Linked DNA regions of Oryzias latipes. The main gene of each other region encodes a partner of the protein of the gene in region 2 in a complex. Links are inferred from orthologs where the notes say so. Each region holds a gene or a part of one and is shown on either strand. Other genes may lie near its edges. The genes, in order: exosc5 and exosc3.

The links.
Region 1: exosc3 (region 2) and exosc5 share a complex: the UniProt entries of both Homo sapiens proteins name them as parts of the RNA exosome core complex. The link is inferred for Oryzias latipes from reciprocal best matches to the Homo sapiens genes EXOSC3 and EXOSC5.

What each region holds. Positions count from the first base shown.
Region 1 is NC_019873.2:26,312,866-26,316,789, reverse strand, and holds the start of exosc5 (exosome complex component RRP46), read left to right. Parts: upstream 1-1,192; 5' UTR 1,193-1,238; coding exon 1,239-1,335; intron 1,336-2,354; coding exon 2,355-2,468; intron 2,469-3,019; coding exon 3,020-3,141; intron 3,142-3,225; coding exon 3,226-3,366; intron 3,367-3,845; coding exon 3,846-3,924. UniProt on the Homo sapiens protein: Non-catalytic component of the RNA exosome complex which has 3'->5' exoribonuclease activity and participates in a multitude of cellular RNA processing and degradation events.
Region 2 is NC_019868.2:3,163,964-3,167,862, reverse strand, and holds the start of exosc3 (exosome complex component RRP40), read right to left. Parts: upstream 2,985-3,899; 5' UTR 2,953-2,984; coding exon 2,710-2,952; intron 389-2,709; coding exon 239-388; intron 1-238. UniProt on the Homo sapiens protein: Non-catalytic component of the RNA exosome complex which has 3'->5' exoribonuclease activity and participates in a multitude of cellular RNA processing and degradation events.

The DNA.
Region 1 (3,924 bases), on a different chromosome or scaffold from region 2:
AGAATTAGCTGTGCTGCATGTATTATTTATCATGCTACACAAAGTGCCATATGGCAGTTCCCCATAGCAACTGTTGTCACAACGTTATTTAGAATTAATAACATATAAATCATCATTTCTGACATTATTCATTGATTATTGACTGCAGTGGTGGTTCTGCACTAACTTACTCCCAGGGAGAGTAACTCCCCAGTGCAATTTGACGTTCTTTTGTGTTCCCTATTTTTATTTGGCCATTTTACACAAAAGATGCGTGAATTTTGTGGGCTCGTATTACGGGGGTGTCAAACTCACTCACACAGGGGGCCTAAACAGAAAACATGCTTTAAGTTGGGGGCCCAACAACATTTATTTACCAAACTAAAGCTACACTTTAAAAAACAAAACAAAAAATACTTTTAAACCTTTATAACAGAGGTTTTTTAACATAAAAATGAATAAAAACAGACAGTATTGTTAATCCAGAATAAATCAAGTTAAACCGTTAATAACGGTGCTCTCCATAAAAATATATTCAGTCAAAATTATACAAATATGAACATGCTGCAGAACAAAATAAACAAAGTCTGGAAATATTTAATTCAAATTATTCCGTTTTATTTGCTGTTTTGTCAAATTTTTTGTCAGCAAGTAAGTTCATTTCTGCTTGCTGTGTGACGTGCTGTGTGTGTCTTTGTGAAACGTATCAAAGGGATTTGATTTTTTTTTAAACTGCTATTATGAAAACCATTTATAGGTCTTATAAAACATTAAAAACTAAATCATATAACTCCTCACTGGAATTAATCAAAGTTTATTTTGGCATTTTCCTAATTTTGTGCAACACCAACAGTAAAAATTCTCCAAAAAGCCTTAATTCATTCATTAACAAATGATCCATTGTTTATGTCTAATCTCAAAAAGTGCAGCTGTTTTACTGCCTGCATTACCTGCTGTCTTTATGTCAAATACTGACACCAATTAAATGACAGGCATACGTAAAAAATACATTTTATATGGAAAATAAAGACACGTAATAAAAGTGTCCAACAACAACAATAGCAATAATCATAATAATAATAATAATAATGTTAATAATATATTTTTTAAACTACTTACTTTGTTGTTGACTTTCTGACTGTTTTTTATTGAACACAAAATTTAAAACACAACATTGGTTTTGATGCAGAGCCCCTTCGCGTCGGTAAATAGATGACGTCATCGTCCAGCGACGCATCCCCTTCCGTGTTGGCAACGTGATGGAGGTTTCTGCTCCTTCAAATGTTTCTCTCCGAGAGTTTGGCTGCGAGCAGAGTTTACTTTCTCGGCCGGATGGATCTGCGTCTTTCGTTCAAGGTAACAGCTGAAGGAAAATGTTGACTTTTTTCTTTAAGAATATGAGTACAACTCCCGATTCCGCCCAAAGAATTATGGACAAACTTATTATTTCAGAGAAATAATTTGACTCTCGACTGCTGGCAAACGATCTTTAAATGAGTTTTAAGCTAAGAATGTCCTAAAGTACTTTTTGTATTTGCTTTATTTTGGTTTTGCATTAGTTTTAGCTCTTGGTAAATGTTGTAAAATTGTTAATATTCAAGAACAAAAATGAGCAGCTAAATAATAACTAAATATTTTTACGAACTTATCTTTTCACATTTAGTTTTTTGTAATCAAAAGTCAACTGCTGTTAAACCATTAAGAAGCCAAACATTTGAAAAATAATTTCTAGTCATTTTTCTATAAATAAAGATGTTGAAATGTTGGATTCATCTGTTTTACTTTCTGTGTTCAGATCAGCTCTCTCAAATTTAAATATTTATTTCTTGGTTTACTCATCCTCTTTTTTTCATTCCCCAAATCATCTTTGAATATTTGTATCCTAGTGGTCATTGTGAACTGTTTACATCGCCGGCATCGGACTGTATAGTCTGGGGTCTTGGAGCAACATTTTTTCAAAGATTTTCTAATAATTTCCCTATAAAAGTTTTTTTTTGGGGTAATGCTTTAAATTATTTTTTTAATATGACCCCATCTTCTTTTTTATTCTTTTTTTTCAAGATATTGTTTAATATAGTGTATGGGATAGGCTCCAGCAGGCCTGTGACCCTGAAAGAGACAAAACGGGTTTAGAAGATGAATGAATTATATACTATGTAATAATTCTACAGTAAACCTGAAACTGAACCAAAACCACCACTCTAAGCAGCAGATTTGGTCATGCATTTACTGCAAGATTTACACTGTTTTTATGTTTTATAGCCAAGATCAAAGTTTACAGACACAATAAGAATGTAGAAATCACATCATTGTTTCAGGTTTGTCCTCTATTTTAATAGAACTTTGATCTTTGTGTTGTTTTTGTGTCTCTGGAGGGGACACGAGTGTGATGGCTGGAGTTTATGGACCTGCTGAAGTAAAGGTCAGTAAGGAGATCTACGACCGAGCAACTCTGGAGGTGCTGGTTCAGCCCAAAGTTGGTCTGCCGAGTAAGTTCTGCTGCATGTCCTGGAAAAGTCAGATGCTGTCACGTGTGTCTGGTTTTTCTGAAACCAATTCAATCCTTTTTGTTTTTAATCTGTTGTAGAAAAAAAGCAAAAACAACTACTAATCCTTGTTTTTGTTGCTCTAAAATGAATAAATCCAGCTTTAAAGAAGGAAGTCTGTTAAATGTAGAGACAATTATAATCACTTTCAATGGATTCAAATGTTTATATGCAAATATCCTCTTAAGCCTGGTTTCATTCATGTCTTTGGGTTGAATGGAAATCACAGATGCTGTTTTATTTCTACTGAATCACAGTAAAAAGATGAACTTCCTCAGGTCTCATGTGGGTTTTAGTTTCATCTGAAGGCTCACTCGTATCTCAACAGTTCTGCAATTTATAAATAAGCATTAAGACAAAGGTCCGATCAAGGTATTAAAGTCTTTCTTTAGGAATGTTTTGTGCAACTGATTTATAGGATTACGCCATAAGGGGGAGCCAGTGGATTCCTTATCAGCTTTGAACTCATATCCCATCATGCCTCTGTTTTCCAGGTGTGAGGGAGCGCTCGCAGGAGCAGTGTGTGCGTGAAACCTGCGAGGAGGCGCTGCTGCTCACCCTCCACCCTCGATCTTCGCTCACGCTGGTCCTCCAGGTGCTGCACGACGACGGCTCTGTATCCTTTACTAAACCCGACCTCTGAACCCGCGGGGGGCGTGGCCTAGCACCTGCCGAGTCGTCTTCCTTACCTGCTCTGCAGCTCCTGTCCTGCTGCCTGAATGCAGCCTGCATGGCCCTCATGGACGCAGGTCTGCCGATGAGCTGCCTCTTCTGCGGCGTGACCTGCGCCATCAGCGCATACGGGCAGATCATCACTGACCCCACCTCAGCTCAGGAAAAGGTCAACCAAAGATGCTGACACTAACCTGAAAATCTTCATTTTTGCTGCTTTGAATGTAGAAATATAATCAGAAAGCAAGTTTAACAAAAAGTTCTCAATTTATGGTTTAATTTTCATGAAAAAAAGTCACATTTCATAGAATCCCTAAAACATGGATGTCGGTTTTCATCAGATCACACCCCTGACCTAACTTTACTGGTGAAACAAAAATCCAGCTGTGTAGTTTAGATCCAGATTCCAGCTCAGGGGAGGATAAACAAATTTAAAGGCTAATAAAAATTCTAACTTTGCTAAAAAAAAATGGGTTCATTTTCCACCAAAACTATTTTTTTTTTATTTCATAAAAATGCAGTTTTTCTTTAGTGTGTCACCTTCAGTTCATCCTTTTGTCTCAGTGTTTCAGTTCTAAAACAGTTTGCCTTTAAAATTGGTTGTCTGCCCGTCTGGCACTAAAGTCCTATTTTAATTTCTTTTCAAAGGAGAGTCGAGCTTTGATGACTTTTGCCATCGACAGTAAAGAACGTAAAGTAATGATGTCATCCACCAAAGGATCCTTTT
Region 2 (3,899 bases):
ATGGAACAGAGAATCTGGCAATTTTTCAAAATAAAACATCTGTCAGATTCCAAAATAAATAAAAAGGAAGCACTGTAAGTTATTTATTCTGTCTGTACGGCCTGGGGGTTGGAGACCGCTGCTCTAGATGGACTCAGATGGCAAATAAAACGGTCCTTGCAGTGCTGAGCTCCACAGGAGTGGCTCCTTGGAGTGACTGCACACAGCAGACTGCACACAGAGCCCCACCCACACTCACCTGGACGTTGGGTCGGTTTCGCTTGGTGGCTCCTTCAAACGCCAGGTAAGACAGAGACGCCAGCTCGCTGCCGCCAAAGTCCACCCTGAAGGTGTCTCCTGCTCGGGCCGTCACGATCCCGATCACGGTCTCCCCTTTAGTGGCGACATACTGAGGAGAACAAACCATTGACTATTCGAGAACTGGACTGAAGGACCCCTCCCTCCTCATGCTCCAAACAGGAAGAACCCGCTGGCTCCAAGAAGCCAAAATCCCATTGACATAACTTCTCACATTGAATGTGTGAAACATTTGACAGATTTTATGTAGCCTGCTTTCAAGTGATAGGGGTGTGACCTTCAAACAAGCTCACTCCTGATTGGCCACTATTTTTTATAAACCATTAGGTTTTCATCATCAGAACACAGTAGATTCATAAAGTCGTCATAAAATGTTCATATTTATTACCTTTCTATTTAGGGAAACGGGTGACGTCATATTGGCATCAGTGTTGGGAAAATGACTTCTAAAAAGTAACTGTTTACTTAGTGTTACAAAATTGTAATTAAATTACTTTACTCACCTATTTAGTACGGTAATTGCCTACCGGTTACTCCACTTTTTTTCCTCTCACATACAGATTCTCAAGGCAAAAAACAGTTTTCACAAACAAGATCCTCTTGTCATTCATATAACTTTATATTCAGAGAAATGACCTTGTGCAAATTTGAACCTGGCTCAAGACATAACCTGGTTTTATTAGAATTCAGACAACAATGTGAAAAAATACACAAAAAAGTTACAACACATGTGGTCTATAGGCCACTGCTCAAAGTGAGATGTGGAAACAAATCAGTTACGCCTATGATCACATCTGTCGAATCCACTCTTTTAAAAACACAAAGAATTATTTAATGCCTCCATGTTCATTTTCTCTGACTTAAGGTATTCCATGACAATGAGTTGTGCCTGTCTCTCTCTCTATACGTCTGGCGTTTGTGCAGTTCTGAGCAGCTGCAGGTCTACTGGACCAACACCACCCCAGCACCCACCTGCAGAGTGCATTGAGCGCCAACTCACGCTGACCAGAGACGCAGTCATGTGCAGCACAGAGAATAATTAAGTCAAAATGGGTGAAATAATATAGTAAACGCCAAGATCCGACTTTAGAGATGTTTCACTGCCAACCAACCCATCATCAGTACACGGGGCGGTTCTCTACTCTGCTGCTCACCTGCTGCTGCTCGGGGAGGACAAGCATCTCTGTTTGTTTCATCTTTGAGCCAGTAAGCCATTTGTATGGGTGACGTCACACTACGATTCTCCTAAGGCAGTGTTTTTCAACCAGTGTGCCGCGGCACACTAGTGTGCCGTGGGAGATGGTCAAGTGCGCCGTGGAGAAATTGCCCTCATTAACTGATCTAAAAACATTTTCCATCTCCAGGATTTCAGCTCTGTGTTCATCCAAACAGGCCCTGATAAAACACTGAGTAGTTAGGAATATAAAAGATCTTAAAATTACTTTTTCTTTGTGTTTATTTAATTCTATTAAAGAGATTTTGATAAAAATCACGGTACCGCGATTTAGCTGCAGCTCTAACTGTGTAAGGAAAAGTCCCGCCCCTTTAACTGTCTCCGCCAATCATTCTTGAAGGCTTAATCACATGTCATCAGTCTGACCAATCAGAAGTGCTTAAAGTCTTCACTTCCTTGTTCTTAATTCTGCTGATAAAGTCGCTCAGTTCTAACAAATATACCAGCTAAAGACGAGCTTTAGCTGGTGGTTCATCTCTTAGAAAAAAACAGCCGCAAATTCCTGCTTTTTCTGCCACAATTATCACAAAAATTCACGTGAGATTGCGGGGGGGGGGGGCGCTGTCGATCAATACAGACCATGAATTTCTGCTTTTTTTTTTTTTTTTGGATGATGGTGTGCCGCGGGATTTTTTTCAGGGTTAAAGTGTGCCGTGGCTCAAAAAAGGTTGAAAAACACTGTCCTAAGGATCAATGGAACGAACGCACGCGGACACATTTATTCACAACAAAGTACATTATTTAAGCAAACACAAGTTTGCAAAAATGAAACTTGTGTTTGCATAAATAATCTGGGTCTAAATTGAAAATACGCAGATCATGTGTGGATTTTTTTAAATTCTTGGTTAGTTGAGTGCATCGAATCAAAACCCATATCTCTGTATCAGTCCATATGTTTTAATTTGATAAATAATTAATTTAGTTTATTTTGATGTATTAGCTTGACGCGTATTTGGTTTTTATTTGATTATACTTTGTTATTTGTAACTGATATTTTTACTATTTGTTATATAAAGCACTTGAGGTGGATTTCATCAGGAAGTGCTATCAATAAAGTTGTGTTTGAATGCTGGTTGTGACCGGACCGCTTCACATTAATGCTCTAAACACGTCTCTGGACCGCTGAACGCAGTTTGTTGGGATCTCAGAACCTTTGGTTCGGACCGGTCCGCTCTTACCCGCTTCTGCTGGGAATCGATCCAGAAGGTGAGCGGCGGTTTGTGCCGCAGCACGCCGCTCTTCATCACCACCAGGCGGTCTCCGCTCCGCCGCAGCCCTGGTCCACACACCGCGCGCTCCGGCTTCGCGCTCTCCGACAGAGAGATCGTTTCCTCTGCACCAAAGCAGAACTCGTCCCCCGGAACCAGAACCTGTCCAACTTTCTCCTTCAGAACGGCGAACATGCCTCCTGTCGTGCTCATGGTCGTCTTCTTCTTTTTGTTGTTTATATCAGATCCTTACTTTGCGCCCCCTGGTGACCAGGAGGAACAATAGCGCTTTCTAAATTATAAGAATTTTCCTGTTTAAAGGACACACCTTTCAAAACGTTTTGGATAAATCCAGGTCTCACCAAATTTCCTCTAAAATAATCGTCTTTGAAAAAAGGTAAAATAATTTTCTACAGAAACAAAAAGTAGTATAAAAATGTCTCAATAGTGTAACACACAGACACACCCACACACACGTACACAACTCAAACGATTTAGGAGCACTAAAAAAGACATGCTATGCCTGAACAAATGAAATATTCTTTTGAAATGCTTCATTCTTTACATATTTGCATGTCCTGACAACACAATAAAATAAAAATAGTAATGGAAATTAAAACTATTCGGCTATGGATGTCTGGATGTGTGAACATTACATGCTGATCCAACTTCAATGTAATTTCTTTGAAACAAGTCAAAATGAGGCTCAGTAGTGGGCGTGGCCTCCACATGCCCATATGATTCCCCTGCAATGCCTGGGTACGCTTCTGATGAGGCAGCGGGTGGTCCTCCAAGGGATCTTCTCTGACGCCTGGACCAAAGCATCTGCTAACTCCTGGACAGTCTGGGGTGCAACCAGGAGTTAGTGGATGGACGAGACATGATGTCCCCGATGTGCTCAATTGCATTCAGGTCTGGAAAGTGTGCGGGCCAGTCCATGACATCATTAGCTTCGTCTGGCAGAAACTGCTGACACTCCAGCCACATGAGGCCTAGCACTGTCTTACTTTAGGAGGAACCCAGGGCCAATCGCACCAACATGCGGTCTCACAAGGGGTCAGAGAATCTCATCTCAGTACCTAATGACAGTCAGGCTACCTCTGGTGAGCACATGGAGGGCTGTGTGGCACTCCAAAGAAATGCCGCCCCAAACCATACCT